Coturnix japonica: one gene and its partners. The main gene of each other region encodes a partner of the protein of the gene in region 7 in a complex. Links are inferred from orthologs where the notes say so. Each region holds a gene or a part of one and is shown on either strand. Other genes may lie near its edges.

Region 1 (4,209 bases), on a different chromosome or scaffold from region 7:
CCGAGGAGGGACAGAGCATCCCACCCAAGGGGTGCAGCAAGGAAAAAGAGGGTCCCTCTCCCCGTATCGTCCTGCGGTGAGTGAACCAGGGCAGGGCGGCGGGCGGGGGAGAAGGGAGCGGCTGCACTTTGAGCTCGGGGGGCCGAGAGGAAGGCATTGCAAAGTCCCGGGTCCTCAGCCACCAAAGCACTGTATCTTTAACTACCCTTCTCGAGGCACTTCGGCTACTCCTTATCCGAGCATCCCAGCCGGCAGCTGATTGCATTCCCCCCTCAGCACTGCAGCCTAGACAGCCCAGAGTCCCCAAGCAGCGGAGGGCTTCCCGTACGAGCAAATATTCATGGCTTTTCGTTTGCCATCAGCTGCCAGCCAGATGAAGAGCAGTTTGTTCCTGAGTGTTAACATCCCACAACTTTCTAACAGAAATCAAACTTTTTCAGGGAAAAAAAATCTAGATACATAATTCTGTGATTCTGTGATTTTGTAACCAGAGCATCCTGGGGAGGACAGTTGAGAGGGGGTTGGGGGGGTATATTGGGGCCATAACTTACTCCAAAACTGTACTGTAAGCAGTTGTTCATTTTGTTTCCCCAGCCCTTCTTGTGCAGACACTGAGCGGGAATGATGAAGAGGAATTGGGCTTCTTAATTGAGCTGCTCCTCATTTATTACGTTTATTTGCAAGACGCCAGGCTCTCTAGCATTAAGAGACACTGATCTCTGCCAGTTCATTTTAACTGTGTGAGATCTAACAAGCAAATTATGACTGGAGAAGAGTGGGAGGTAGCTTAAAGGATCTGGTTCCAGTAAATATCTCCTTGTTGCTTTAGTGGCTTCCTCTGTAAAACAGTAAGTTTTCCCCTCCTTTCCCGCATTTCCTCTGAACTCAGAGAAATTATTCATAGATGTCTATCAGTCTTCACAAGAGGCTGACATTCTGTATCAGACAGTAAAGCTTCCTTTATACAAACCCAATTCAGTTAATTGAGTTAGCTCTTCTGGTTTCAATGTTCACAATGAAATATAGGCCCACTGCTAAAGAGGATTGATCAAGAATGCTGTAAGTACATAAGTAGTTGAGTAGACTACTGAATGCATGTATACTGTGACAAATTCTATTTAGGAAAGTTCAGTTTTAGTACATAAAAATGAATGGTTAGTCATCAGAAGACGGCAGCATTATGGAGCTGGGAGTGGTATAAAATAATAAGACTTCCAATGGGTTTCCAAGTCTTACTTCATGCAACCAGCATTTGAAAGACACTGAAGTTACATGTTCATAATATCTGCATTTAGGTTGCACTGGTAGCAATTCAGAATGGGATGTCTGAGATCCTCATTTAATAATATTGACTGTGCTGAGTATATTGTACATAAAAAATTACTTCAGTTCTGTATTCTTCAGAACAGATTTCAGCTGTCCATGACAAACATTAATGAAGACCCTAAATAAAAGAAAGAAAGAAGGAAATGCACTGACAAGTGGATAGGACTACACAGTTTTGCTGAGGACTCTCCAGGTGGGCTTCATTTTAAACTTAATATGTCAAAGACAAAAATGTTGACTTCTGCCTTTGGTTGAAGACTCCAGTAGTAACCTAGCTGCACATAGCAAGATATTGATTGATATCAGGTTAGATGAGATTTTTAGGCTGCTGACTGGGTGTTTGCTCATATGCTTAACTTACTGCATCAGAGGACATGAATATTTTAGATGTTTGATTATAATATTTTTTTAAAAAACTGATTTCTTTCAATTTTATATGCTATGCACAGAATTCACCATTTCATTTGTCAATTCAGGAGCCATTCTCTGAAAAACAATAGCGGTGTGCTTGAGTTTCCCCACTTCCTTTTGTTCAGTTAAGCATCTCCAAGGTTGATTTCTTTGTTTTTTTCTTTTTTAAATTGTTTTCAGAATGTTCCTATGTCAACAGCACAGAAGCCACTGCATTCACTGGTTCTGCTGGTAAGTAATGAGCCTGCAACTGTTTTCCTGCAAATTAAGGGTCTCCAGATTATGAACCACATCCAGACATTTTTTCTCTTTGAATAAGTAATGTTTCCCTAGCCAAGTTTCTGTCAGTAATTGAATGCCAGGAGATGTTTAGCAATTAGTTCCTGATACTATTCCTGTAGCTCTCATTAATTGTGTAGGCCAGTATTACTTATTTTCCCTTCCCCTAAAAAGCAAGTGAGGATTGGGAAAGACTACTGAAGCTCAGGGAAGCTATGGTGAAAAAGGAGAATATAGTGGCTTTGTCACTAAGGTGTATAGAAATGCACAGAAAAATACACTCCTGAACATGTCCTTTGTTTTCAACTATTAAAATATATTTCTAGGCATTACAATATATGGTTTTATATGCATCAGTACTGAACAAAATGAGAATTCAGATAAGCAGAATGTATTTTGGAGTATACCAACTCCAGAGATAGCAAAGACATATATGCTCTGTCCTTAATTATGCATGGAGAAATAATGCTTTCAGAAAGTCAATCCTAAGTTAAATCAAAGAATCCAAAACAAAGTTAAGAGCCCAGAACAAGGTAATGAATTAAAAGACACTGGGTAAGCCTCTGTAAAAACTGTAATAATTCATGTGGGCTTTCAACACTCTGAATTTTTAAGAGAAAGAAAAGATGTGAGTTGCAATTAAGTATATACCATGAGTACACCAGGGAAAAAATTTAAGGGCCTTATACATGAATAGTGTGTGAAAGCCACTATAAGCCATTTATAGACATGAGTATTTACAGAATAAGACTTGTATGCTAGAAATTGTAACCATTCTTTACAGAATAAACTACTGTTTACAAAAAAAAATCTTTGTCCCTTCACTATTACTCATTAACTTTTGAGCAGCTATAGAAGTTTAGAAGAGCATTTTGAGCCATTCTATATAAGCCAAACCAGACTTCACAGGTCTGGATTTGGTTTTGTTTTCTAGTTTCTATTCTGGTATGGTCTCCTCATATTTCAGGTACTGATTAGTATAAAATTATATGCTCATCTATGGAAATTAGTTAGGAAATACATCCATTTTATGTGTGTACAACTGAATACAACTTTTATCAGTATTTTCTGTTCACACCAGGATTTCTCCACACAAGAAAGCTTTTTAGATGTACGCTAAGCTTCAGTAGTTTTCATAGGAAATTAACATCTTAAGTTACTCATTACGTAAAATATTGTAGAAACATGTTGTGTAGGGAAGACCTAAAAAGGAAAATGACAAGAACTACAGAGATTGAGCATATTTCTTTTCTTTTCCAGAGTTCCAGAATTAAAAATTACAAAGCAGTCCAACACATTTTCATCCAGGAGTGTAAATCAAGATTGAATTTCCAAGTCTGGGTCATCTTCTCTGATTTTCATTCTCTGTTCTTGTATAAAAGATGTCAAAAAACACAACAGAGAATTCAAATTACACTCACTCAGCTCTTCTAGGTTTTTTCCTGTCTAGCATTTCACTGATCACTGTTGTAATGAATATATTAGTATTATGTGCTGTGAAAACTGAAAAGAAGCTACAAACAGTTGGCAATTTATACATTGTTAGCCTCTCTATTGCAGATCTTATAGTTGGTGCAGCTGTTATGCCCCTTAATATTGTTTATCTCTTAAACCATGCGTGGACTCTGGGCTTAACAGCATGTTTGTTTTGGCTGTCAATGGATTACGTGGCCAGTACTGCATCTATTTTCAGTCTCTTCATTTTATGCTTAGACCGTTATCGTTCAGTTCAACAACCGCTGAAATATCTCCAGTATAGAACAAAAATGAGAGCATCGCTGGTGATTTTGGGAGCGTGGTTGCTCTCTTCCTTGTGGGTCATCCCAATCCTATGGTGGCGTGATTCTGCTAATGATGAGAAAAGTAAAGGAAAAGCAAACTGTGAAACTGAATTCTCTCATGTCACTTGGTTCAAAGTGTTGACAGCCATTGTCAATTTCTATCTGCCTTCTATCATAATGTTATGGCTTTACTATAAAATATTCAGGGCTGTTCGAAAGCACTACCAACAACGAGAAGTTGTCAATGGATCACACTGCTCTTTCTCTGAAAACAAAAATGTAATTCACAGAAAGACAAAGGACACAAAAATCTTACATGAAAATGCACCTCATAAAGACAAGCAAATGTCTGAGTGTGAAAGTACAGCAGCAAAACTTCAGTTGACTAATTCTGGCAAGTCTTCAGTGGCTT
Region 2 (4,149 bases), on a different chromosome or scaffold from region 7:
ATTAGTGCAGTCAGAGAATGCCAGGCCAGCTCTGGTGTGAGCACTTCTGTCAGATGCCATGTAAGACAAGATACCTCCAAAAGAGCAGTGCTACCAAGCCAACAGCAAGGCCTGCTGTGGTACCTCTCACTCAGAGCTATTTTTTCTCTCCATGTGCTGGTATGCACCCTGACCAACTGAGGTCTTCACATCCCATCTGCCCCCACTGGCTGCCTGGGTATCTATTCCTGTTTTCAGGGATCCTGCAGCACAGGTTCAGGAGGGGCTTGTAAGCAAGGCCAGCATGTAACAGTGGTCCCTTATTTTCTCCTTTCTGTACAGGAAAAAGCAAACGAAACAAAAACGGGCTGTTGTAGAGCAGCAAGGGAATAATGCCTGAAACTCCTACCTGTTTGCTGACCCATGTTTGGAGGTAAATGCAGTCTTTGTAGCAAACGTGAGTGGGGTGCCAAGGTAGCACATGGGAAATGAACTGTATAGTATATGAGTCACAGAATATCCTGAGCTGGAAGGGACCCACAAGGATCACCAAGCCACACCTGTTACAGATTCATAAGTTGAGAGGTCATAGATAGGTAGTTCTGGAAAGTAATTGAGTAATAAACTTTCTCCATTCTCAGGTCCTTTTATTTGTTTATCTGTATCTATTTATTTATTTATTGGTACTGGAAATCAAATATTTGAATAATAAACCTGTTCAGTTGTCGTGTCCATCCATTCATTCATTCATTTAACAGTGAAATCTCAGATTAAATCTTTGTTTTGCAATGTCAGCAGGCTCCCAGAGGCTGCTCATAAATCCAACTAGAAAAAGACACTACATGTATTTTGCTTATGGTATAAACAAGAGATATGCAACTTCTCTTTGACTTGTGTGCTTGCTTTCTGAATTTCTAGAGTAAAAGCATTGGAACCAAAGAGGGGAAGCAAGGTCCAGGTGAAGTGTGTTCCCCTTTAAATACAGCTGGTTGAGTCCTCAGGCTCCCCTTCTCCTCATCCTCTGGGACAGGATCAAGGAGCAATTTGGGATGCTACTGCAGCTCTACAAGTAGGTTAACAGTCCTGGAAAGGTTTCTCCCTGGTAGACAACAAGAGAAAAATGTAGAGCTGGTTGAGAACTGAAGACCAAAAGGCACAACCTGCACCCTGCAAACTATGGTGACTGTGGTAACTCAGATGTGCTGAGCAGGGTCTGAAATAGACAGAGAAACTGAGCAGAGCTGTGGGTCTCCACTCACCTCTCTATTTCCTTGCAGCACCCCCAGTAATCCAGCAGCAATACCAGCACAGCATGCCCAGTCTCTTCTTGATTTCAGAGGCCCACCAACCCTCTCTGAAGCCTGGCGCCATGGAGAAATAGCCACAGTCTGACTCATTCATGAACCTGAACGTTGATGCTGGGCTTACCAACTGCTTGCTGTGGAGGCTGGTTCCAAAAAACGAAATGAATCACCACCTGAGGTGAGATACCCATTTAGTGATGATATCTCAACACAGTACCCACCCAGGTCAAGGGCTGTGCAGGTCTTTGCAGACCAACAGATCAGGGCATGGCTGTCGGAGCAGGTTACAGTAGGGGGGTTCTTTTTGCTTGCACAAAGCGTGCCATCTTTGTGTGCAAGAGTGCCAGCTTTTTGTGGCTCTTCCCTTCTCTAGCTCTTGAGTTAAGACATTTCCACCCCTAGGTGTAGCTTTTCTCCCTCTCTCTCTGTTTTTGCCTCTCCAGATTCGTAACAAAGAACAACTGCATCTCCTACTGGCAGGCTGGAAATCTGCCGTGTCAAGTGACATGAGAAGACTCAGAGGCTCTCTCTGCTGGGTCTTGCTTCAGAGGCTTCTCCTTCCCTCTGAAACAAGTGGAGGAGAACAAAGACACAGGGTGGTCACACTCCAGGCAAAGCTTTGGGGGAAGAGATGGCTGCAGTCAGCACTAAGCATCCCAGATGCACTGTTTAGGCTCATAAACTGTGTGAGGGTTGGCATTCACCCCTCAGAGAAATTGTTTATAGATACTTTTATTGTGTCTTCAAAGTGAAAGTCAAATATATCATAGGAGGCTTAGGGCAATAAAAAAGATGTTTGAGATCCCATTACTGTGCATTTGGATGGAATAAGAAGGCTCATGATCTACAAAGGATGTTTTGGACCTTGATATGAGGCTTTGAACCTTTCAGCATATGGCTTTCAGCTCAGGAGCTTGATCATAAAGCTTTGATATCTCAGTATGTATGTTTGATCCCCAAAAGAGTCTTCAGGCCCTAAATATCAGCTTTTGGCCCCCAGCATGTGGCTTTGGGCAGTTGAAGGGAGGCTCTGAGCATTAAAATAAGGCTTTGGGCTTTCACAAAGGTGATGATTGACTGGTGAGTGGAAGGGGGGATGGCCATTGAAGGAGACCTTTGGTTCTAAAATTCAGGCATTGGCCCTTAGAATGAAGTTTGTCCTGTCAAAAAACATCGTGGTTGCCCAAAAGTAGCCTTCATGCCCCAAAATCCTCAAGGTCTGTATTTGCTGTAACTCCAAAGCCACATTCTGGTGCTGCAGCTCAGGGATCAAGGAGAGCAGCAATGCCCTGACATTCCCATGCAATTGCATCTGCCCAGGGAAGCTTCCAAGAGCCAAGAAAGACTTTTTCTCTAGACATTCAGCACCCAGACACCTACCTGCCTGTGCTTCATGGATGACAACGAACCAGGATTATCCCTCGGGTTAGGAGGGTCTCTTTCTTCTTAGCTTGGAGAAGTAAAAGGTGCTTTTCCCCCTTGTGTGTGGATAAGGATGAGAGCCTCTCCAGCAGCTTTTTCATATTTTCTTATCCCTGGGCTATGTCCCAAGCAGTGTGTGAAATGAGGCAGAAAACAAAGCTGTTCTTTCTTGATGCACAGTTGTCTTTTAGGCAGCATTCGTTTCATATGTATTCAATCTACACTGAAAACGCATGTTAAGATAATGAGTAACACTCTTATCTGGGCTTATCACATCAGTGTATAACAAAAAGTCTTTTCTGCTCCCCAGGGGGATCTGTTGAGGAAGTGTGTAAGTCTGCATGACTTAGTTTCTCTTCATTTGAAGCCCTGCAGTTACAGCTTCTGTGGGTATCCCTTTTGGCACATGTGTAGAGCTGCAGGGATAACTTCAAAGCATTGTTGGCATCAAGGAAGATTAACTCATCTTTCTGAATCTGGCAGTTCTCACAATGAGGTTTCCTTAATGCTGTGTATTAGAAGTCATCTTCTTGAAAGCTGAAAGCGTGTGATTTTGGCAGTCAGAGCTGCTACTTTCAGTGCATGAGGAAAAACCAACTTTGAGCCTTTTGATACAAAAAATGAGCCTTTCCTACAAAAAATGGACAGTTTCTTACCTCTATTTGTGAAGGAGAAGAATGAGGCTGCTGGCACCCCAAATATGCTTAGCCATCACACCTCTAATGCAGCCCTGAGCATCACATGCTCAAATCCAGAGCCAAAAAGGGTCCTAGAGGAATGAATATCCTTAAATTCTCCAGCCCAGGGGACTGCAGGGAGATGTGCTCAAAATCTTATTTATGAGCAAAGAAGCAGCACAACGTATTGTGAGTATAACGATAGTCTCAGGGCTCTAAACGTTACTCCAGAAGTCTGCAGAAGAAGAAAGAATATCAGTGCAGTTAAAATTATTTTGCATGCGCTTTCTAGCCCTTTTCCTTCCCCTGCTTCTCTGGGTCCTAAAGCTGGTGGCTTCACCCTGGCGGTGGTATGAAGGTGGTGTCACAGCAAGCTGTAAGCATCGCTGGAGGAAAGCTGCCACCATGCTGCCCACACTGCCCCAGCCCCTGGCATCTGAGACCATCCCCAGTTGAGAGGTTCAATCCATTCTATCCCCTTGGTCCCAAGTGCCCTCACAGAGAGAGTCAGCATTTGGAAGAGTCACCCTCAGCACTGTATATTAAGGGGAAGGTGTGAAGATCCCAGAGGATTTCTTTTCTCCTCTGTTCTGCTTCTGCATGCACTTCAGCCCCACGGACTGGTTGTGTCCTGCCTCACTATTTCACAACATGACAGTGGGACCACAGCTGAGCACATCAATACCCAGCTCAGCTCTGAAGCTCAGCCCAGGAAGCTGCTCTGCCAAAGTTCAGGTTTCATAGGGCAGGCATAAATGCAAGAGAAG
Region 3 (4,012 bases), on a different chromosome or scaffold from region 7:
TTTCTTTATTTTTGGGGCGGGGGGTGGAGAGGCTGGTAGATGGATTAGCGTTTATCACCAGGCTGCCTACTGGAGGGTTATTAGAAGTGATTTGCAATGTAAATAGTTCCATCATCAGGCACATTTTCTTTAGACCAGGCCTGTATTTGATGAATATTAAAGCGCGTGGATGGTAGCGCTGGGTTCAGTGGGGGCTTCTGGGGGCAGGGGTGTGCAGGGGGGGAGGTGTCCAGGACGTACTGGAGGAGCTGTGTGTGATGGGAGAGGCCTGGAGTGCCGACCCTCGACAGCTGGGGCCCATCAAGCAGCCCAATGCCTGCGCAGCCCCATCGGCTTGGGAGCGCTCAGCCAAATGGGTGCACCCGGAGCGCGGCAGTTTCCCTGGCACTGATTTTCTTGGGGAGGGAAGAAGGAAGAGGAAAGGGTGTGGTGTGGTGTGGTGTGGTGTGCCTGAGGTCAGGGCTTTGGGCCGCCGCATCCAAGGCACTTTCTCTCAGCTCCCCCGTGACCGCAACGTCCCGGCTCTGCCTTCGGGCGCTGCCGCCGCGCCGTCCCGTCCCGCAGTGCCCGCTCGGTGCCCGCTGCCCGCCGCTGTCCGCGGTGCTGCAGGGCTGCCCGCCCTGCTGCGGGGTGCGGGGGGGCCGTGGCACATCTGCCCGGGGTGGGGGAGAGCACATGTGGGGAAAGGAGGGGGCACACGAGGGTTTCTTTATTTTTGGAGGGGGGCGGCGGCGCGGGGATTGGCCGCGGCACCGTGACGTTGTGCTCCCCCCTCCGTATCCAAAGCTTTCCCCCGGCGTTTGTGGGGGGGTGAGGGGGGGACACATCTGGGGGCGGCACATCTGGGGGCGGGAGAGGGAGGGGGCGGGGAGGAGATGTTGGGAGGGGGGAACCGGGCCGGGCCGCCAGAGCCGGGTCCTCCCCCTCCCCCCGCCCCTCCCCGCCCTCCGCCGCTCGGCGCCGCCGGGAGCCGGGTGCCGGCCGGGGCCATGCGTGCCGGAGCCCCCGACGGCGCGGCGGAGCTCTCGGCGCTGCACCATGGCCGCTGAGAACCACTCGGCCGCGGGCGACGGCGCGCCCTGGGGGCTGCCCGGTGAGTGCCGCGGGGCCGGGGGGTGCCGAGGGTCTGTCCGCTGGGCTCTGGGGAGATGATGGGGTACGCGTCGGGGTGCGCGGTGCAGGGCTGGGGAGCGCTCGGGAGTCGTAGGGGCTCTCCTCCAACTTTCCTGGGTGTCCACGAAGGGGCCCTTCCTTCGCAGCAGAAACCGCCGTCGCTTCCCCTCCTCGGGGGGAGCGAAGAGGTGCGGGGCTGCACCCGGCGGCGGCTCTGTCCGGGCAGCGCCGCTCCTTGGTCCGTGCCCGCCGTGCCCCGTCCCGCGGCTCCGGAGCGTTCGCTTCCCCGGTAACTCCTCTCGGACGGAGATTTGTCTCCCGGGCAGGACGCTACGTGCGTTTTTGCCTTTGCTTCCCCTCTGGTTCTGGGACGAGATGCCCTCTCCTTTGGCTACTTTGTCCCTCCCTACCCGGGACGCGCAGCGCTGCGCAGAGCCCCGGGCCGTGCACCGCATGGAGCTCCCCGCGGCCGATGGGTCGGGCAGCCGCACGCACCTCGTTCCCAAAATAATGACATTGGCTTCAAATCAAGGGACGGCCCCTGGCGTGTTCTCAAATCAGTGCAACGCTCGGTTCTGTCCTTCCTCACTCTGAACCCCTCTGGCTTCACTGTGGCCGTGATTTCAATCTGCTACTTGCTGACACCGTGATTGGAGCGCTGCTTTTCCAGCTGCAGAGCAGCAGCCGCATCTCCGGGGTCTTACTGGGACCCCGAGCAGCGATGGGATGCTCTGAGCGTTGCTACTCCCAGCACCTGGCACTTGGGCACCTGCCGATCCCCAGCTGTGTTGCTGCCACACTGCCCAGGGCTGCGGCTGTGTCACCCTCACGGGCAGCCCAAGGAACAACCACAACAGCCCCATGTTGTGCCCTGCATCCACTGGGCAGGGACGCACAGGAGGGGCACCATCAGCACGGTGTGCTCAGCCACACGCCGTGCCTGCGGCAGCAGGTCGGTCTGTGTTCTTTCATAGAAGAGAAATGAACTGAAATGATTAATTAATGCTGTGATCCAATTACTCTGAGTTTGCAGAAGGGGCATGGTTTTTCTCTTTAAACTGTCCCCACGAGGGTCCTATTGATATCAGTTTTTGTCATAGTTGTGGGTTTTTTGCTTTATTCTTGTTTGTTTGTTTGTTGTTTCTAATGGAAATGACAAACATCTCCCCAGGAAAACGCAGACAAAGTCAGGTAATAAAAATAACGAGCTGAGGAGCGGCGGTGCCCAGCAGGCCTCAGCCCCGGAGCTGCTGTCCCCTGACATGATGAGATACAGCCAACAGTGCTGAGGGCAAGTGGGCACTGCAGGGCTGGGGGTGGGGGCAGAGTGGCAGTAGAGAGAGGGCAATGGGAGCTGTTTGCAGCGGGTGCCGCCTTTGGCACCAACACAGCTCGCCTGCCCATGTACACACAAACATGGCATGAGGTTCAGAGCCCAAACAGCCCCGCTGCCCCTTGATGCTCCAAACGGAGGCATTAAAGAGCATTGTCTGTCCTCTGTTGGCCATGGGGATGTGCTGCTCTTGTTCTCCATCAAACCAAGGGAGGTTTTCTTGTGTTTCAGCATCCATCTGTGCTGGCTCTTGAACTGTGCAGCTTTGGAAGCCAAAGGTGTGCTCTGGGGCAGTGAGACAGAGGGATTTTGCACTGAGCCATTCCTGTTTTCTTCCCCTCCCACCTCCATCCCCACTCTTCAGCCTGCTCTGGCATCAGAGCCTGCCCCAAGCAATGGGGATGCTCAGCACCTGAGCACCACTGGAGCTCCTTCACATTGGCATTTGTGGGCTCACTGGAGCCTGCCCGGGGTTGGCATTCCAAGCAGAGCCGCCTTGGCCCTGCACTGCTGCCGTGACGCAGAGGGGCCAGGGGAATGCAGGAGCCGTGGCAGCTGTTTGCTCAGCCTCAAGAGCTCAGCAGAGGAGCTCCATCGGTCAGCCGGCAGGAGGGGCAGCAGAAGCCTGGCCTTTAAAGGCAGAGCCCTGCGCAGTGGGCAGGCTGCCCCAGTGCTGCTGAGTGCTGCAGGCAGTGGGCAGTGCCTGGAAGCCGAATGCTGGAGATCCAGAAAGGCAGCCCTTCTGCTGCCACCATGGCCTTAATGTGTTTTGTGACTCCTCAGAGGGCACAACAGCAGCGGGCATTGGCACTGCCTGAGTGCCATCAGGGCATGGCAGTGGTGGAACTGCATGGCACTGAGCTACATGTACCTGGAGGGGAGTGGGGTCCAAGCATGAGGCCAGGCACAGAAATCACCTCTGTCACACCTCAGAGGGCAGGAGCTGAGTGTTCCTGCAGCGCTAAGGGTTAACGCTGCCTTGGTCTGGGTCCAGCAGTGCTGGGCTAATCGGGCTGTGGGAAACTCTGAGGTTTCAGTTGTGCAACGCCAAGGGCGGAAAACATCACTTTGAGCAAACACGACGTCCATGTCCAGGTCACAGGGCGGATCCCGAGTGGCAGCTCGGCGCCTGGACCCTGAGCCTCCCCATGCCTCCTCGGCTGGGAGCGGGGCCGCTGGGACGGGAAGGGATGGGATGGAGCAGGATGGGGTGAGAGGGATGGGACAAGTGCCTTGTGGAGTCTGTCCAGGGCAGGGCTGAAAGCAGCACGCAGGGCAGCTACGATCCCTGCTCCCCCACAGCTGACTTGGTCTCAGTCCCAAGCTGTTCTTGCTGCTCTCTCCCCCAATCCCTGTCTCTCCCACAGGTGTTTGATCCCAGACACAAGGAGGGTGCAGCTGCTGTGGGCAGACATCTGTTGCTCTCAGCCTCTTCCCCTTTCCCCACTGTATCTGCACCTGGCTGCTGACAGAGCTCCAGCCCGGGGCCATAGAAGACCAAGAGCATCCCGTTAAGGCAAGCAGCATTCATGCAGTAGGCAGCAGCAGTGTAGCTGTGCCCCAGGC
Region 4 (4,270 bases), on a different chromosome or scaffold from region 7:
TTCTTCCTATAAACAGATGTAGAAGCAAGGCCTCCTCTGCTGGGACAGTTGCGATTCACACAGGAATGGGATCTGGGTGTTGTCTCTTGTCTTGTGCACCAACCTGCTGCCCCAGGGCCTGACAGCAAGTGTGGCTGCGCTGTGGGCTGAGATCTCTCCCTATTTCCCAGGGCTCTGCTGCTGCAGTGCGGTGCTCCTCTGGCTGCTGGCTGCTGCTGCTGTTTTGGCAATGCCTTTTGCTGCTAGGACTTGGTGTTGTGCTCAATATGGGCACAGAAAGGCTTTCAGACTCCTTGGGCAAGAACAGCTACACGCTTTGGGAGAGCTGAGTCTCTCATTTCTAGCAGGAGATCTGTAGTTTGACCTCTTCCATACCACTGAACTGGACTCTTCACATTGCCAGCTTCTCTGGCAGTACCTGCTTCATTGAGGTTTCCCATCCGAGACACCCGCACGTCCTACAGTGGCAGAGAAGTCACAGAATCATTAAGGTTGGAAAACCCCAAGGTCCATCCCCACCCCCACCATGCCCACATCCCTCAGTGACCACAGGGTGACCTGCCAAATACAGATCCAGTCAAATTAATATTAACAGTGTTCTCACCAAAGCAAGGATGCAAGTTGAAGATAATGGGTCTTATTGGACGCATCCTTTTCAGCTGCAGGCACACCCTGTCTGGACACTTTGCTGTGTTGACCAGCATTCTTCTGTGCCCCTCCCAGCAGTGGTTGTTCAGCCCTTTGTGGCTGTCCCAGCTCTCAGAATCCTCATGCCTCCTTCGTTGCAGAAACCAGTGCTGGCTCTTGTTAAGAGAAAGAAAAGCCAGCAGCATTTCCTTGTTAAACAGCCTGCGGTGAATGCAGGCAGCAGAAGGAAATGTGGAATCTCATTACAGCACAAGTGACTCAGAGTGGTGTTATGCCTGTAGTCTGTGCAATGTCGGTGCACACCTGGGGAAACCCCACATGAAACCTGAGCAATGCCCTGGGACTGTGTCAGTGAGCCAAAGAGTGAGCGAGCCCCAAAGAAAGAGTGTTCTATCCATCAGGCTGCAGCCTGGGGTGGATTTCTGGCCAGTGTTTCCTCATGGTCCTCTGGGACTCCCACGCTGAGCAGCCCGATGCTGACACAGTGCCTCCCTGTAAGTCAGCTGCTGCTGCTGAGGTGTTGGAACAAGCATGGAGTGCTGCTCTGGCTGCTACCCATGCTTGGAAGGGAATGAGAAGCCTGGAGGATGCTGAGCCCGGATCCCTGGCGTGGAGCTGCTGCAGGTGGGGCTGCCCCATCCCAGGGCACAGGATGATGGCAGAGAGCAGCGAGCCCCTGTCCTGCACAGCCATTTCCCTGTGAGATCCGTGCTGTGCACCAGGGTGTGGCTGGGGCATATCCGAGCCATGTTGCAAGTGCCAAGAGGGAAGTGAGTCACCCACCTGCGAACCAGCGCCTTCTTTCCTGTCCCTGCTCCTCCTGGTAGAGCTCCTTCAGTCCTGGCTCAACGCTGCTGCTCACGGAGGACCAGCGCCTGCTGGGCTGGACAGCCCCAAGGTAAGGACATCCCATCCCTTCTGCTCACCTCCCTCCTTCCTGAGCTCACCAGCTCCTTATGCTCTGTCTCGTTGCTGTGTGGATGTGCATCCCCCTGAGGTCTCTGACCCGAGGCTGCCCTCACCCTCTCTGCCTGAGTGCCCCCAGCAGATGTGTGTGTTTGTGCCCTGAGTGGTGGCACGGCCCTGTGCCCTGCTGGGAGCTCACAACCACAGAGTAGCAGTGGAAGCACAGGGATGTGGTGGTAGTACAGCCTGTGGCTGTTTGTCTGGGGGCTTCGTGTAACAAAACCACCCAGAGCCTGCCTGGCTCCACGCAGGGCACATCTGCAGAGCTCACCCATTGCCTGGGACTGGCAGGGCTCACACCCACTTGTGTCCTTGTCCCACACACAGCACTTCATTGCTCCCATCCTGCCGGCACTTCGTGTTGTTCCTATTTGCTACCCTTGTCACTGAACAAAGCAGCTGTGTGTGTGTGCAGAGCCCACCTGCTCTAATTGCTGCTGCTCTGCTTGCACTCCGTGCTGAGTTTTTCTCCCACTAATTCAATCCCCAGGGATTTGCTCCTCCAGGATCCAGCATCCCGGATACAGCGAGCAAAAGTATCCTTTTTTCCCCCTTTTCTTAATAAAACTAAAGGCTCGTTCAGGATGGCATTCAGTGCAGGTGGACTTTGTGTGCTGGAAGACCCAGACTGCTCTGTAAGTCGGGCTCCCAAAACCACCATGAGTTTGAACGCTGGATTCAATGTTGTACATTCAGAAACAGCAGCAGCGCAGCCCCAGAAGAGCAGGGAGTGATTTCTGACCAGAACTCCTCCCCAGCCCCAGACGTCCCAGGCTTTCATTTCCTCTAAGAACTTGGCTGCTCAGGACAGCACACTTTGTTTTGCAGTTCTGCAGCCTTTGCTAAGGGTCCCCTTCCTGCAGTGACATGACATCCTCACCGGCTGCTCTGTCCAAAGCCAGGGACCAGTTGCCAGCCAGCCTCCCTGGAGTGCTTTTAATTTGTTTTTAATGTAAGTTCCCAGAATCGCTCTCACAGGAAGGGCACAAACAGGGCTCTGGCCACTTGAGGAGGACCAAGGTCTTTGGTTCAGCTTTGCAGAGCTGCTAGTGCCTCCTGCATGAAGCTTAACCCCCAGCATGGGAGCTGCAGTTTGGAATGTGCTGGCCTACCTGGGGCTGTACCTGAAGCTTTGCTGTACCGGCAGCTTTGCTCATCACTGGCATCCTCCTGTGCACCACACCGACTTGCATCCCTGTGATGAGTTCTCCTCTGGCTGCCCCAGTCGTGGTGGTAAGAACATGATGGCGAGTGGTCCAGGAGAAGATCTGCCATGCTGTGGTGTCCCAGTGCCTGCAGAATGTACCTGAGATCAAAGCAGATGTGACACAGCTGTAATCCTGGGTCTGTTTGTACCGAACACAAATGTAAGGAGACTGCTAAAGAACGAGTCTATCTGGGAGGTATACAAGTCTCCTGGCACTTCCCTTCCTTCAAGTTATTGGGTCAAAACTCTTCTGGCTTCTGCCACTCGTCTATTTAGAAGAAGGTTGTTCAAATGCCACCTGATCCCAGGGACGAGGAGTGGATTCCTATTCTGCTCCTAAAGGACAATTCCAACCCTGCCTTCCTTTGGGATTATCAGAAGATGTTTTGAGGAAACAGCTCTAAGGACTTTCCAGATCTTTGCTGCGGTTGATTGCCTTTCCTCTACAAGGCTATTTTATTTCTCATTTCCTTTGAGCTGATGTCACACGTTTCCTCTTCTCTAGTGACTCTGCAGTCATGCTGCAGTTGCTCCCATTCTGGTGTCCTCTCCTTGAGAGCTGCCCTCGTGGAGACCTTTCAGACCGTGGTCAGAGCAAATAACTCTTAGAAGAGGACCGAGCACACTCAATAAGACACCGATCTCTACTCAAGCAGAAGATGGGCACATTGCACTGAATCCATTTGTGGTAAGCACGAAAGAGATTTTATTGATGCTATTCCTGCTGAAAGATGTTTATCTGATGTCGTGGCCATCAGCCAGTGAATCCTTACTGGGAGAGCATGGCCCATAGGAGAGACTGGGACTGGAGTCTGTGTTTCTCCCAGCCACTTCACTGTGCAGCTGGTGACTTCCACCTCTAGTTCTTCACACGGTAAAGCTGATGATAGAAAGCTCTGGGGAGTGTACTGGGCACTGGCTTTGGGCTACAGCTACCAGGGATGTGTAACACAGTGCAGCCTGATGCAAGTGGGTATGGGACCCATAGCTGCCAGCTTGAACTCAACTCAATTCAACTTTTCTCTCATTCTGGCACAGAGAATGTTTGTGTTTTATACAAAGGGGAAGTGCCTCAAGAGGAGAGACTGAGTGAGATGACCCATATGGTCACAGTGGCTGAAATAAGTCTGAATATGTTTGGAGGGGAGCGGTGCCACGCTCTCTTCTAGTTGCATGATGTAGAACATCTGGCTTGGCAAACTAAAAGGGAAAAACTCTCCTGAGATTCCCTGAAGGACCTTATCAGCACTGGCACTGCACAGCCAACTACTGCCAAGGTAGATGAGTTTGACCAAGCCCTGCCAGAGCTGTAGAAGGCATCGTCCCCTCCCACCACCCATCCTGCACCTTTACCAGAGCATAGTTACAACTTAGAGCACATCCATGCGTTCATCTCTCCAGTCAGATTGCAGCCCCAAACCTGTCTTCCTTCTGTGTAAGGCTTTGCAG
Region 5 (4,232 bases), on a different chromosome or scaffold from region 7:
TGAAACTGTAAATAAGTGAGGAACTTCTCTGTTGCCATGACCATATGTAGCCTGACACAAAGAATTCATGAGCTATTTATAGAGAATCAACATTGTAAGCATTAGTTACAAAGTCTAAAACTGTCCAGAAAATCAAAATATTGAGATGACCAGGGATGAGATGAAGTACTTACACCTCTAAACTTCAGACAAATAAACACAGGCAACTTCTCTCTCTTTGGGGTAACAATGTGTCTTGCTTTGTATTCAAGGTACTTTCTTTGCAGGAGAATTCAAGTATATATATGGAGAAAGAATGGACACCTCCCTCACACACATTACAATGATCACACTGCCTTTAAAACAACAGTTCTGAACCTTAAATCCATCTTTATACTAATCTGAATCGCCTAAAATTACAGAGGCTTTCTTGAATTATGGTAATGAGCTTACAAGTAATCTCACCCTTCTCTCCTCCAAAACTATTTCTTATCAAAACATTTCATATTGTCACAGTACATGTGGCTAAACAAATCACATGTCTTTATCTAACACAGTAATCTTTGGAGACCAGCTGGTACAGAGTTGTTGGAGTGGGTACAGAGGAGGCCATAAAGATGCTCAGAGGGCTGGAGCACCTCTCCTATGAAGAAAGGTTGAGGGAGTTGAGCTTGTTTAGCTTGGAGAAGGCTCATTGTAGCCTTCCAGTACTTGGAGGAAGCTTACAAGCAGGAGGGAGAACAACTTTTTATGCAGGTAGGTAGTGACAGGACAAAGGGGAATGGGTTTAAACTGAGAAAGGGAAGGTTTAGGTTAGACATTAGGATTAAATTCTTCATTCAGAGGGTGATGAGGTGCTGGCACCACAGCCCAGAAGAATTTTGGGTGCCCCGTCCCTGGAAGTATTCAAGGCCAGGCTTGATGAGCTCCCTGGCAGCCTGTTCTAGGGGTTGGCAACCCTGCCCACAGAGGGGGACTAGAACTATATGATCTTTAAGGTCCCTTCCAACCCAAGACATTCTGTGATTCTGTGGTAATGACATACAAATAGTTTGCTACATATGGAACATAGGTATTGGCATATCTTTGAGTACACAGTTCTTGTTTTCCTTTTGACCCACAAAAAGAAAGCAATCCTAAAACATATATGGTGTACCAGACACATAACAGGTGAATTCTTTCAAGGTTAAACTGCAACATTTGGGGCCCATTAGATGAACTCAAGAAGAAACACTGATTTGAATTCACCAGAGAAAGAGAAGAATTCAAAGTTCTAGAGGGGATATTTGGGGTTTTCAGTATCACGGACACACAAAACAAACCTAAAGTAAATCAGTCTCATCCGGTTTAACCTCAACCACGAGACGCTGCTGTCTGTTTTCTTTCTCAAAAGACTCACGTCACCGCGCGCTGAAAAAAAGGGAACTTCCACAGTTTGTGGTGAAGGCTACATGATAAACAGATCTGTTCACACCAACTAGTGGGGCTGCCTGCGTCAATAAAAAGGCAGCAGCAGGCAGAAAACTGACATTTGGTGCTTGGAGGATTATCGCTGCAAGAGGCGCTTCCCATCAAAGTTCAGTAAAATGCCAGGATTATTTTTTTCCCATAACAACATGACTGAATTAAATGGAAAGGAGGACTGCAAGCTCGCAGAAGGCAAAATCCATAAAAAGAAGCAAAAGGCTTTGTAAGTATATGTATATATATCTTAGTATAAACTCTAATGTATTAGAAATGAAAATAATACTAACTCTTGGAGATAAAGAATTCACAACCTTTTTCAGGCTAAAGGATTATAAAGCCCACCTAAAGGCCAGGACTATAGCATTGCTAGAAACAGTTCGAGCTAATACCAACCAGCTCTTTCATTTAAGTAAGCAGGATGAGATTTTGGAGACGCCAGGAGTCTCTTAGTCTTTAAAAAATAACTACATGGATACATGACTTTCCAGACTTCAGTCATAGGATGGAGCTGTTGGCCTTTAAGTTTTAAGAAATTCACTTAGAAAAGAAATGCATCTATAACTCCAATGGATTACAAATGCCTATTCATTGTTTTCAGTGGTGCAGACCTCAAGAACTATTTGAGGTGCATGGTACCGCATCTTGAATCTGGGATCAAGTCTTCTAACACCAGGAATGTCATGTAAGTACAGAAAAAAAAAAAGTAAAGACAAATTTAAACATACAGTTAGATTACTAAATAGTCAAACTTGTTTTCTTTTAATTTTTATCCTACTTCCACACTTAGAAGTTATTTCTAATACAATAACAACAGCTGGGACTTTCAAAAGAGGTGAATGTTAGGAAGCAGAAACTATATGTGGAATTAGAAGCTGTTTCTTGTTTGCATCAAATGAGGGCAGAGTGGACACCTCACTTAAATCTCTTTTCCTCAGAGGCACACTGTACTCATTCTATAATGGCTTACAGGAGGGGATGCTTCACATACAAGAGTATAACAGGGGAATTACAAGTCTCATTTCAAAAATAAGGAAAAAGTAGCACGGATAAAATATTATTTGCTGATAGTCACAGTAAAAGCTCATCTCTCTGGAAATAGAATTCAGGATAACCATTAAACCCCTATGTTTCCATTTTTCTGGTTATTTTCTCAGTGTGGGCTCTCACATCTGCACCGAGAAAGCCATAAGTTTAATAAACACACAGTACATATTTCTGGAATAGAATAATAAAACCTGTCTCCTTTAAACACACAAAAGAAAACACATGGCTTCTTGCCTCAAACCTTTTCCTTCATTTGTCAACACAGGCTTTCTGCAGAGGAAGTAGTACAGTGGTCCCAGTCTTTGGAAAAGCTCCTGGCCAGCCAAAGTAAGTACATTACTTCAGTATTACATTGTCCTTGTTCTGAAGAATCATCATCATCATTATTATTAATCCGAAGTTCACCAAATATGCAAAGCTGTAGCATTGTGCAAACACTGACAGAGAATGGCTTGTTGCCTTTTAGTCACTCTCAGCTGCTACGTTCTAATTTCCTCCTAAGGCTTTGTGTTCCCTACATCCCCATTTCCTCCTCCTAGAAGAGTAAATAAACCCTTGCAGGCCCAGATCAATGCTTTTTTGACCACTTTTCAGCCTGCATACAACACCAAATCAATTTGGAATTTTGTTTTCAGCTGTACCCTACGTGACTCCATTTAGGGAAGCCTAGAATCCAGGGATGTGATTTGGTAGCCAGGTTCCAGATCTACAAGCCCCTAGATGTCATTAGGAAGAGTCCCATTACCCTTGGAACTGGAATATTTGCAAAATGTAAAAGAAGGGAAGAACGGAGCATCCCATCAAGATTTTATACTCAAGATTTCAACAGAACCCCTGCTACGAACTCTTTATTTCACCCCCCCCAAACACAAATATCATGCTCTATGTGTGTATTTATGTTGGCTGCAGGTGGTCAAGGTGTCTTTCGGGAGTTCCTGAAATCAGAGTTCAGTGAGGAGAACATAGAGTTCTGGCTGGCCTGTGAAGATTACAAAAAAACCAAAGCTGACCACTTACATGGCAAAGCAGAGAGGATTTATGAGGAGTTTGTTCAATCAGATGCTATTAAACAGGTAAGTTCAGTGTTACCTGCATAGTTTTATCACAGAGATACTGAAAAGAAATCAGAAGATAGAAGCATTGAGATGTGCGTACATTCATTCAGTTAGACAGGAAGAAGATCCAGCCACACGTTTTACAAGCACGCTTGTGCCACTGCTGTATGCAGCTGTGAGATAATCAGACCTCACAGACAGAGCCACACAATGCAGGCAGTGTGACAGTGCTAGCAACAGAGCCAGTGGATCAGCACACAATGCTGAGTCAGCCCAGTTTGAATTACTGCTGGTGCTTAGAGTCAGATACCTGAAAGTAAACCTTGCTAGTAGGAATGCTATGGGTTGTAACAGCCCTTTAAAATATGGGGGCACGCTAGAGAATTAAAAGTTGTGTGTATCAATTGCATACCTAACTGGAGACACGTCCTACACAAGATTTCTCCTGTTGTTTTAACTTGAGGTTGTTTTACTACTTTCTCTATCATTTAGTTTTATTGCCTCTGATTTCTAAAGAAACAGTATTTTTATTGCACATGACTGGGTTATAAACTTTAACATTTCCTCATTCTGCACTTCAGCTACCAAAAATCACACTGAATTCTAAGTCCAGGAACTAATTTGCTGTCAATACCAACATACAGGTACAGAATACATTTCTAATGTGTAACCGACAATTGTTTTTCC
Region 6 (4,096 bases), on a different chromosome or scaffold from region 7:
GTTCAGAGTCAAACTGAAACTGCCCAGCCATTTCACACAACCTCTGATGAATAATGTGTTGGACATCACTTCTTTGGGCTACAGCCCTCTCAGCTGCTTTACCAATAACTCAAACATGAAAGCTTGTACATCTGGCTGTTGAAACCCTGAGTCACTCTGTCCTTTAATTAAAGCATGTCTCTTTATTATGTCCCTCTTGCTTAAAATTACGAGAGAAATATTTCCTAGAGGCGAATGCCTAATAAATGCACTTTTACTTAGTATTTTCTATAGATTAGCTAAGTAAGGGGGAAAGCTTGCAGTATCTAGGGTACGTCAGGCAGTTGCAGGGGATGCATATGTCAACCTCGAGCATGATTTATCTTGCATGCCTTTTCTGACAGTTGTAATTTAACGGCTGTATTTTCCTCCAGGCTCTCAAGAGGCTGAACATCTTTTCAAGTTTCTAGCTTGGTGGTGGAAGATTCAACGTCTGTTTGCCAGTGTAATTTATTGAGTCATTCTGGGAGAGGCGTGGAGCAACTGAAGCGTGAGCATTCGCATAGATGTGAGTAGAGAGGGACTCTTCCAGGGCAGCCTCTTTCAGAGGAGAGCTGCTTCCCTTAATGACCGCCCCTGCTCACTGAGATGCACAGTGCCATGGACTAGAAGGCTCGATACCTTGTGCTCTGATCCACTGTGATATTATCTTGCATTTCAGTTTGGAGTTACAAAGAGCAGAGTAAGAAAGGGAGAGGGAAATTTCTGCACTGTGATCAACTCAAGGTAACCAAGAGTCACATACACTGAGGTGGGTGCTTCTGGAGGAGCTATAAAACCTGAATTCACTTCTTTCTCAGTCTTCGTGTGATGGCAGTGCTACAGCTGTTAAAAAAAGAAAGACTTATAGCTCATTACTCTTTACATAAAACTTTAGAATCCTCTGAACTTTGAGATTTTTTTTTTTTATTCCCATGTTGAAAGCCCAATCAGTAGTGGTGTTTGTGGTGGCAAGGAGCGTAAGATGAGCCCTCAGCCAGGGGCAAATGATGGCTTCAGTCGGCAGCCAGGTTCCCGTGCTCAGCCTCCCCGGCCGAGAAGCGGGGTAGGCGGCGGCAGGGCAGGGAGGGAACCGGGACCGCGACGCCGCCTCCCTGCCCAGCGAGGGCAGACGTCCCGCGGGACGGAATGGGACGGGGCTGAGCGGCGGCTCCGCCGGTCCCGCCTCTTCTGGGCTTGCCTTGTCGGCCCTTCTCTCGCCCGCAGCCGCCGGCGCTATAAAGGCGTGCAGGTCCTGCGGGCGGGGAGCCTGTACGCAGGGAGGGGTTAGAAAGGAGGGTGTGGAGCCTCTGCCGCAGGAACATTAAAACTACCGAGTGCCGGCCGGCCGGTGGAGTCGCTCAGCGGCGCTCAGGATGCGGACGCTGCGTGCGGGCGGAGCGGTGCGACTGAGCGAGGTACGGGATGGGGCGGCGGAGCGGGGACGGGCAGGGAAGGGGGGCTTCGGGGGGCTGCGGCGGGTGGGAGCCGGGAGCGGGGCGGCAGCGGCAGCCGAGCGCGGAGCTGTGCCGCCGGACTCACCCCTCCGGCTTTGCTCCGTTTGCTTTGTAATTTGACGGCTCTGAACGCTCTTTTTCTCCTGCCTGATTTCACACCTTTAATTCTTTTTAAGTGTCTACTAGAAAGCGCCTGTACGTAAAGGGAGTTCCCTCTACATCTGCATTCCTTAATCGTATTTGTTTTCAAAGCTTACGATGCTAATTATTTGCAACACAAAGTTCTTTTTGCCGTTCCTTTGTGTCAGACCCACAGAACAGGTTGCTGTGCGGGCTGTTAAGTACTTGTCTCGTTTCTCTCTACTTCTCCCAGCTCCTTAACGCCCGTCCGTGCTGCTCGGCTGCTGTGCCTCTCCTGTTTACAGCTCTGGATGCTCTCTCGCACATGGATGAATTACCTTTAGCACAGTAAATTGTTTCCCAGCCCCTCCCGAAACGTGTTCAGACTTTCAGAACGGAGGTGAATTGAGCTCTTTTGTCGAGCAATTTCTTTGCAGGCTTCTGTACAGTCTGCAGTTAAAGCGAGTCAAGCCCATTTCCCTTTCTAAATCTCTGCTGCTGTGTGTGCTGTGTTTCCTGCTAAAGAATTAAGTTAGGCTGGATCCTGCTGCTGCGCAGCTTTCAGATCTTTCACGCTGGAAGAAGTCCAGCAGTGCGGTCTCTGCTGACTCCAGCTTTACCTATGCAGGTAAAGTTGTCTTACAGGCTTTAGCTATTTAGTATGCCTAACTATCTTTAAGCATATCATAACAGATGAATAAAACTGACTTTTCTGTGATTGCACTTGTGATTCTGATGAACAATCCAATCAGCAGATTGTTTTGGACTGTTTCTAGTTGGTTACGTGATTGTTTGCCATCCCCTAACGTGGGCTTTGCCTCTTGTTCTCAGGATTGCTGCTTGTGAGCGTGTGCGGGGAGCTGCGGGGCCACCACGGGTTTGTGCTCTGTGTCTGGCGGCACCATGAGCTCCGGCACCACCGCCCCAATGAGGGTGGTCAGCAGCCTCGCCAACACCGACGTCAACTATGTCATCAAAGAGCACTATAATTACACGGGGAAGCTAAATGAGAATGCGGACAGTGGAATAAAAGTGACGTCGGTGGTTTTTATCATCATTTGCTGCTTTATAATTTTGGAGAACATTTTTGTCTTGCTCACCATCTGGAAAACCAAGAAATTTCACAGACCAATGTACTATTTCATTGGGAACCTGGCTCTTTCAGACTTGCTGGCTGGCGTGGCTTACACTGCCAACCTCCTGCTCTCCGGACACAAAACTTACAGCCTCACTCCTTCCCAGTGGTTCGTAAGGGAGGGCAGCATGTTTGTCGCCTTGTCAGCTTCTGTGTTCAGCTTGTTGGCCATCGCCATTGAGAGATACATCACCATGCTGAAGATGAAGCTCCACAATGGCAGCAACAGCTTCCGCTCTTTCCTGCTGATCAGTGCCTGCTGGGTTATCTCTGTGATACTTGGAGGACTCCCGATCATGGGCTGGAACTGCATCAGCCTCTTGTCAAACTGCTCCACGGTGCTGCCGCTCTATCACAAGCACTATATTCTGTTTTGCACCACAGTTTTCACCGGCCTTTTGCTTTCTATTGTTGTCCTCTATTGCAGGATCTACTCCATGGTGAGGACTAGGAGCCGTAGGCTGACATTTCGGAAAAACATTACCAAAGCTACCAGGAGCTCAGAAAAGTCACTGGCCTTGCTCAAGACAGTAATCATAGTCCTGAGTGCCTTCATTGCTTGCTGGGCTCCCTTGTTCATCCTGCTTTTATTGGATGTGGGCTGTAGAGTGAAGACCTGCCCGATCCTGTATAAAGCAGAGTATTTCTTAGTGCTGGCCGTGCTCAATTCAGCCACGAACCCTATCATCTACACCTTAACAAACAAAGAAATGCGGAGGGCTTTCATCAAGATTCTGTGCTGCTGCAAATGTCCCCCCACAGACTCTGGGACTAAATTCAAGAGGCCGATCATCGGAGGGATGGAGTTCAGCCGGAGTAAGTCGGACAATTCCTCCCACCCGCAGAAGGAGGAAGGCGACCGTCCTGAAACCATCATGTCTTCAGGCAACGTTACCTCATCTTCTTAGGAGTGACCATGGAGGTGTGTTTAGAGCCTTCCTCTGAAACTGGGAGCTGAGGCACCTCCTGCTCGCTGCAGCAGTGCTGGGCTGAGGAGCGAGTAGCATTAGTTCTAACGAGGCCAATGGTGCGCTTGCGAGGCCGGAGTTCAAGAAATGGGACACGCTGTTCTGGCTCGAAAATCCATTTCCCTGGAGCATGTTTTGTCTTTGCACTGAGGCGGCTCAGGATTGTCAGGCGCATTCATATCCTGAAATCTCCTTAGTAACTATGAAAGACTGATGCCTTGGGGAAGTGATGCCTGGTGTGTGCAAGAGAATGAGAGTGGGGGAAGAGGCAGAGGGAGAATGAATCTTTTTTTTTTTCTTTTTCTTTTCCCCGTGAGAAGAATGTGAAGTTATTTTTCCTTTACTTGCAGCAAACCACTGACACAAAGCTCTTTCTGTACTGGGTTTAGCGATGGCTC
Region 7 (3,500 bases):
ATGTTGAAAATAATTTTCAGTGTCACTTAAGAAGTACACTTAATATAGAATAGCATTTTTTCAAGTACTAAAATGGAGTGAATTCTGCTGTTAAAGAATTTTATACTGTTGACATGTTATTACTTAGGATTATTCATTTGGGAAAAATATTGAAGAACTTCATGAAAGTTTGCATTTAGTTAAGCTAACAATATTTTTATAGGTCACAGTTAACTGTTACTGGAATTATTTATAATAATTCATTTAAAAAAAAAAGAAAAAGATTTATATTGCTTTTATATCACTTTCTAATGTTTTGTGAAATGTCTAGGAAGACTTCTAAGTCCTAGATAATTTGAAGTTATTTCTTATACTAAGAAATGAAATTACAGTAAATACTGCAAAGTTTATGCTGTTTTTCAAAATTCTGTGATCAGGCTTGCACAGCTGATGGTTTCAGATTTTATCACTTCATGTTTAGAAAGCTGGAAAATCCAAAGTTTATTTCCTGCTTTGTATTTGTGTTTTGCAGAATGTTTGATGTTGGAGGCCAAAGGTCGGAACGGAAGAAATGGATCCATTGTTTTGAGGGGGTTACAGCAATTATTTTCTGTGTGGCATTAAGTGATTATGACTTGGTCTTGGCTGAAGATGAGGAAATGGCAAGTACCTTAATGCTGAAGAAAGGAATAGTTGTTAGAAACTAAGCATTTTGAAAGGGAAGCTAAATACCTCTTTCAGAATAAGAAGCTAAATACTTCTTTAATGAGATAGATAGGCTTTTTGTAAAAGTTTTCAGAGAACTGATGATAGATTTCATGCTTTCAAGTTTCAAAAATAATTTCTTTATTCTCAAGAGTACTTAGAGACAAGTACTCTTTTGAGATGTATTCTTTCATAAATTTCAAATTATACATAAATCATTGAGGATGTCAATAATACATGTCCTTGTCTCTATGGGTACTCCGAATATCAAAGAAGTTGTTTTGATTATCTGTCTCTGCTGTGTTTTGTTACCCTTCCCCAGCCTTCAGTTTTTGTTTCTTTATAAATGTACTCCAACCTATTTCCTTAGTTGCAGAAATCTTTATTTTCTTTCTCTTTAAATCCCTTTTCCATTCTTTCTCTTCTTTCAGGATGTGACTCCTCCCACATCAATATACACAGAGTGTGTGCTTTTTATTATCTGGGTAGTCTAAAGTGATGCTGATGTAAATCGTTAACAAGCTTCTGTGTTATTCCTCTTGTTCTGCAGCTTCTAGTAAAATAGTTGGAGGGAAAGAAAAACAAAACAGGAAAGAAATGCACTTTCAAGTTAAATCTAGTCAAAATAGATCATACCTGCCATCTACTTAAATGTCTGGAAGTAGTGTGAGAGTACTTTTATACTGAATAATTTATCTACAGTGTTAAAATTAGGGTAACTTTTTTTTTTTCCTTTTTTTTTAAGGTGAAACAAGCCCAAGAGCCTTATCATTTAATTCTCTAGTTCTACATAACTATTTTTTTCATTATATTGGAATCTGAACTGTGTGCTGAAGTTAATAGTCAGTTTTCAGAATATCTGATAAATATCTGGCAACTTCTGATCACTCATTGAGTTTTCTAGACTATCATTATTGCAGAATGTGAAAACACACAAAAAAATCCTAACAAACTAAAAAAGACTTAAGCCTGGAAATGAAGAAAAATAATATAAAGTAGTTGCTTAAAGTGTAATCATTTCATCAAGTCATTCTAGTTGGAAAAGGCCTTCAAGATCATCAAGTCCTCTAAAGTGTTATTTGGGCACTGTGTATATCCCTGTGGTAATACGTGATTCTGCATACTGGAAAAAGTGTTTTTTAACTTAACTAGTTGTAATTAATCAGATATGTATATCCTCATTTTACTTCTAAACTCTGGTAGAATACAATAAAGTCTGTTTTTTTGTGTTTCACCCCTCCCCCTCCCTACCCCCCCCAAATTACAGAACCGGATGCATGAAAGCATGAAACTGTTTGACAGCATCTGCAACAACAAGTGGTTCACGGACACGTCCATCATCCTCTTCCTCAACAAGAAGGACCTCTTTGAGGAGAAGATCAAGAGGAGTCCTCTCACTATTTGCTATCCTGAATATGCAGGTATTGTGAATGGACAGGTGTCAAGTAATTTGGGGTTAAATTATCTTATTTTTGATAAACAAATTGGGAGGAATTTGGTAACTGTAGATGTACAAAATATTTAAATAAAGTTTAAATTGCTAGGATGCTCTTAGAATTCATGAATAAAGGAGTGTGGAAGTCAGATTAGTCTCCTTAATGAGGTGAAATGATGGTGATCCACTTGATGGTTTTTAGGTGTTGCTGTCATAGAGCTTGTCAACCTACTCTGGTTTAGCCTGTTCTTTATTCTGGATTCTATTCTTTTATACCCGGGTGTATTTTTTTTTTTTTTTGCCCCTAGTGGGAATCTCTGAGGATACATGAGAGTTTATTTGAAGGGTGCATATATACACAGAGATATTAGAAGAGGTGACTTGTTCAGGAAATATATAACAAAAGACAATTTTATTTAACAAGGCATAGACCTGTTATGTATCATTTTCATTGTAATTTCAGACTATTCTTTGTCTGAAGAAAAGAAAAACTGTCAAAAACATGAGAATTGAAAGTGAATAACTTGAATGAAAGAATCATATACAGTCTGTTTAATAGTGATAAGTTGTTAATGACTTGCTCCATCTACCGTTTTTATAAATACTCTTTCTGCAGCACTTTATATTATTAAAATAAAATAAAATAGTTTAAAAATTGTCCAGAAGATTTCCTTCAACAAGATGCACATTATATTGTAAAGTAGTGGCTGTGAAATTATTTAAATCAACATACTCCTTTTCAGTTTTTAGTGGTTGTTGCAGAGTAAGTACTTCCTTCTAAGATACAATGTAAGTTTAGTTCTTCCTTTTTGAATCCTGCTTACTGAGCAATTTTCTCCTTCTAGGATCGAACACTTACGAGGAAGCAGCTGCTTACATTCAGTGTCAGTTTGAAGATCTTAACAAGAGAAAAGACACGAAGGAAATCTACACTCATTTCACATGTGCCACAGATACGAAAAATGTGCAGTTTGTTTTTGATGCTGTAACTGATGTCATTATTAAAAATAACCTTAAAGACTGTGGCCTCTTCTAAGAACAGACAAGACATTGTTAAATGGTAAATTACATGCCTGAAAAAAGGACTTAGGCATTTGGAATAAGCCCATATTGTGTGAAACTTGCATAGATATACTTAATTCTCTTTATTTTATTTTTAGGTTTGAAGAATGACTTCGCACAATTCTAATCTGATTGATTTCAAGGTGAAAGATATACAAAATATGTTGTTCTGAATGATAGATCAGTACTGTACTTGCCTGTTTTAACAGCTTTATTTATGTTTGTCTTGTAAATTTAAGTAATTAGGTAACACTGAGATGTCTTTTGACTGTATGTAAACTTGTAGTAATGTATTTGTATAAATGTTGAACGGAATACT

Evidence for each region.
Region 1: the proteins of guanine nucleotide-binding protein G(i) subunit alpha-1 (region 7) and HRH1 are in contact, whole or in part, in a cryo-EM structure (PDB 9LRD), measured with the Homo sapiens proteins. The link is inferred for Coturnix japonica from reciprocal best matches to the Homo sapiens genes GNAI1 and HRH1. Residues at the interface, in NP_002060.4 of Homo sapiens: Arg32, Asp193, Leu194, Asp315, Phe336, Thr340, Asp341, Ile343, Ile344, Asn347, Leu348, Asp350, Cys351, Gly352, Leu353, Phe354; in NP_000852.1 of Homo sapiens: Arg125, Ser128, Val129, Pro132, Leu133, Leu136, Lys137, Thr140, Ile213, Val217, His220, Cys221, Arg409, Lys412, Ala413, Gln416, Leu417, Cys471, Asn472.
Region 2: the proteins of guanine nucleotide-binding protein G(i) subunit alpha-1 (region 7) and CX3CR1 are in contact, whole or in part, in a cryo-EM structure (PDB 7XBW), measured with the Homo sapiens proteins. The link is inferred for Coturnix japonica from reciprocal best matches to the Homo sapiens genes GNAI1 and CX3CR1. Residues at the interface, in NP_002060.4 of Homo sapiens: Glu28, Ala31, Arg32, Glu33, Val34, Asp193, Leu194, Phe336, Thr340, Asp341, Ile343, Ile344, Lys345, Asn347, Leu348, Lys349, Asp350, Cys351, Gly352, Leu353, Phe354; in NP_001164642.1 of Homo sapiens: Val52, Ala55, Leu56, Ser64, Thr66, Asp67, Leu70, Arg127, Ala130, Ile131, Ala134, Ala135, Met138, Asn139, Asn140, Arg141, Gln144, His145, Thr217, Leu218, Asn223, Lys226, Ala227, Lys228, Ala229, Ile230, Leu232, Tyr293, Gly297, Glu298.
Region 3: the proteins of guanine nucleotide-binding protein G(i) subunit alpha-1 (region 7) and CHRM4 are in contact, whole or in part, in a cryo-EM structure (PDB 7TRK), measured with the Homo sapiens proteins. The link is inferred for Coturnix japonica from reciprocal best matches to the Homo sapiens genes GNAI1 and CHRM4. Residues at the interface, in NP_002060.4 of Homo sapiens: Arg32, Leu194, Glu318, Tyr320, Phe336, Asp337, Ala338, Thr340, Asp341, Ile343, Ile344, Lys345, Asn347, Leu348, Lys349, Asp350, Cys351, Gly352, Leu353, Phe354; in NP_000732.2 of Homo sapiens: Asn67, Arg130, Cys133, Val134, Pro137, Leu138, Pro141, Ala142, Ile218, Ala221, Ser222, Ser224, Val226, Arg394, Lys397, Val398, Thr401, Ile402, Cys456, Asn457.
Region 4: the proteins of guanine nucleotide-binding protein G(i) subunit alpha-1 (region 7) and PTAFR are in contact, whole or in part, in a cryo-EM structure (PDB 8XYD), measured with the Homo sapiens proteins. The link is inferred for Coturnix japonica from reciprocal best matches to the Homo sapiens genes GNAI1 and PTAFR. Residues at the interface, in NP_002060.4 of Homo sapiens: Arg32, Asp193, Leu194, Glu318, Ile319, Tyr320, Phe336, Thr340, Asp341, Ile343, Ile344, Lys345, Asn347, Leu348, Lys349, Asp350, Cys351, Gly352, Leu353, Phe354; in NP_000943.1 of Homo sapiens: Ile52, Arg115, Ala118, Val119, Pro122, Ile123, Thr125, Ala126, Gln127, Ala128, Arg222, Asn223, Val226, Arg229, Ala230, Met233, Val234, Thr297, Lys298, Arg301.
Region 5: the proteins of guanine nucleotide-binding protein G(i) subunit alpha-1 (region 7) and RGS1 are in contact, whole or in part, in a crystal structure (PDB 2GTP), measured with the Homo sapiens proteins. The link is inferred for Coturnix japonica from reciprocal best matches to the Homo sapiens genes GNAI1 and RGS1. Residues at the interface, in NP_002060.4 of Homo sapiens: Val179, Lys180, Thr181, Thr182, Gly183, Ile184, Val185, Gln204, Ser206, Glu207, Lys209, Lys210, His213, Ala235, Glu236, Asp237, Glu238; in NP_002913.3 of Homo sapiens: Ser105, Glu106, Phe107, Ser108, Glu110, Asn111, Ser143, Asp144, Ala145, Ala146, Gln148, Ile149, Asn150, Ile151, Asp152, Phe153, Arg156, Leu181, Lys184, Asp185, Ser186, Arg189.
Region 6: the proteins of guanine nucleotide-binding protein G(i) subunit alpha-1 (region 7) and S1PR1 are in contact, whole or in part, in a cryo-EM structure (PDB 7VIE), measured with the Homo sapiens proteins. The link is inferred for Coturnix japonica from reciprocal best matches to the Homo sapiens genes GNAI1 and S1PR1. Residues at the interface, in NP_002060.4 of Homo sapiens: Ala31, Arg32, Glu33, Val34, Leu194, Thr219, Tyr320, Phe334, Asp337, Ala338, Thr340, Asp341, Ile343, Ile344, Lys345, Asn347, Leu348, Lys349, Asp350, Cys351, Gly352, Leu353, Phe354; in NP_001307659.1 of Homo sapiens: Arg78, Met80, Arg142, Thr145, Met146, Met149, Lys150, Leu151, His152, Asn153, Arg231, Ser232, Leu235, Thr236, Phe237, Lys250, Leu254, Thr257, Thr314, Asn315, Lys316.

What each region holds. Positions count from the first base shown.
Region 1 is NC_029527.1:2,863,085-2,867,293, forward strand, and holds the start of HRH1 (histamine H1 receptor), read left to right. Parts: upstream 1-1,409; 5' UTR 1,410-1,519; intron 1,520-1,917; 5' UTR 1,918-1,968; intron 1,969-3,276; 5' UTR 3,277-3,398; coding exon 3,399-4,209. UniProt on the Homo sapiens protein: G-protein-coupled receptor for histamine, a biogenic amine that functions as an immune modulator and a neurotransmitter.
Region 2 is NC_029517.1:40,718,417-40,722,565, forward strand, and holds the start of CX3CR1 (CX3C chemokine receptor 1), read left to right. Parts: upstream 1-1,349; 5' UTR 1,350-1,461; intron 1,462-1,726; exon of another isoform or gene 1,727-2,090; intron 2,091-3,402; exon of another isoform or gene 3,403-4,149. UniProt on the Homo sapiens protein: Receptor for the C-X3-C chemokine fractalkine (CX3CL1) present on many early leukocyte cells; CX3CR1-CX3CL1 signaling exerts distinct functions in different tissue compartments, such as immune response, inflammation, cell adhesion and chemotaxis.
Region 3 is NC_029520.1:21,114,985-21,118,996, forward strand, and holds the start of CHRM4 (muscarinic acetylcholine receptor M4), read left to right. Parts: upstream 1-1,212; 5' UTR 1,213-4,012. UniProt on the Homo sapiens protein: The muscarinic acetylcholine receptor mediates various cellular responses, including inhibition of adenylate cyclase, breakdown of phosphoinositides and modulation of potassium channels through the action of G proteins.
Region 4 is NC_029538.1:1,410,523-1,414,792, reverse strand, and holds the start of PTAFR (platelet-activating factor receptor), read left to right. Parts: upstream 1-1,470; 5' UTR 1,471-1,546; exon of another isoform or gene 1,547-2,920; intron 2,921-3,326; 5' UTR 3,327-3,509; intron 3,510-4,270. UniProt on the Homo sapiens protein: Receptor for platelet activating factor, a chemotactic phospholipid mediator that possesses potent inflammatory, smooth-muscle contractile and hypotensive activity.
Region 5 is NC_029523.1:3,509,340-3,513,571, reverse strand, and holds the start of RGS1 (regulator of G-protein signaling 1), read left to right. Parts: upstream 1-1,432; 5' UTR 1,433-1,565; coding exon 1,566-1,669; intron 1,670-2,044; coding exon 2,045-2,128; intron 2,129-2,755; coding exon 2,756-2,817; intron 2,818-3,399; coding exon 3,400-3,563; intron 3,564-4,232. UniProt on the Homo sapiens protein: Regulates G protein-coupled receptor signaling cascades, including signaling downstream of the N-formylpeptide chemoattractant receptors and leukotriene receptors. Inhibits B cell chemotaxis toward CXCL12.
Region 6 is NC_029523.1:10,029,675-10,033,770, reverse strand, and holds the start of S1PR1 (sphingosine 1-phosphate receptor 1), read left to right. Parts: upstream 1-1,296; 5' UTR 1,297-1,436; intron 1,437-1,538; exon of another isoform or gene 1,539-1,995; intron 1,996-2,027; exon of another isoform or gene 2,028-2,223; intron 2,224-2,426; 5' UTR 2,427-2,498; coding exon 2,499-3,638; 3' UTR 3,639-4,096.
Region 7 is NC_029516.1:10,212,501-10,216,000, reverse strand, and holds part of guanine nucleotide-binding protein G(i) subunit alpha-1, read left to right. Parts: intron 1-511; coding exon 512-641; intron 642-1,951; coding exon 1,952-2,105; intron 2,106-2,964; coding exon 2,965-3,155; 3' UTR 3,156-3,179; exon of another isoform or gene 3,180-3,279; 3' UTR 3,280-3,500. UniProt on the Homo sapiens protein: Guanine nucleotide-binding proteins (G proteins) function as transducers downstream of G protein-coupled receptors (GPCRs) in numerous signaling cascades.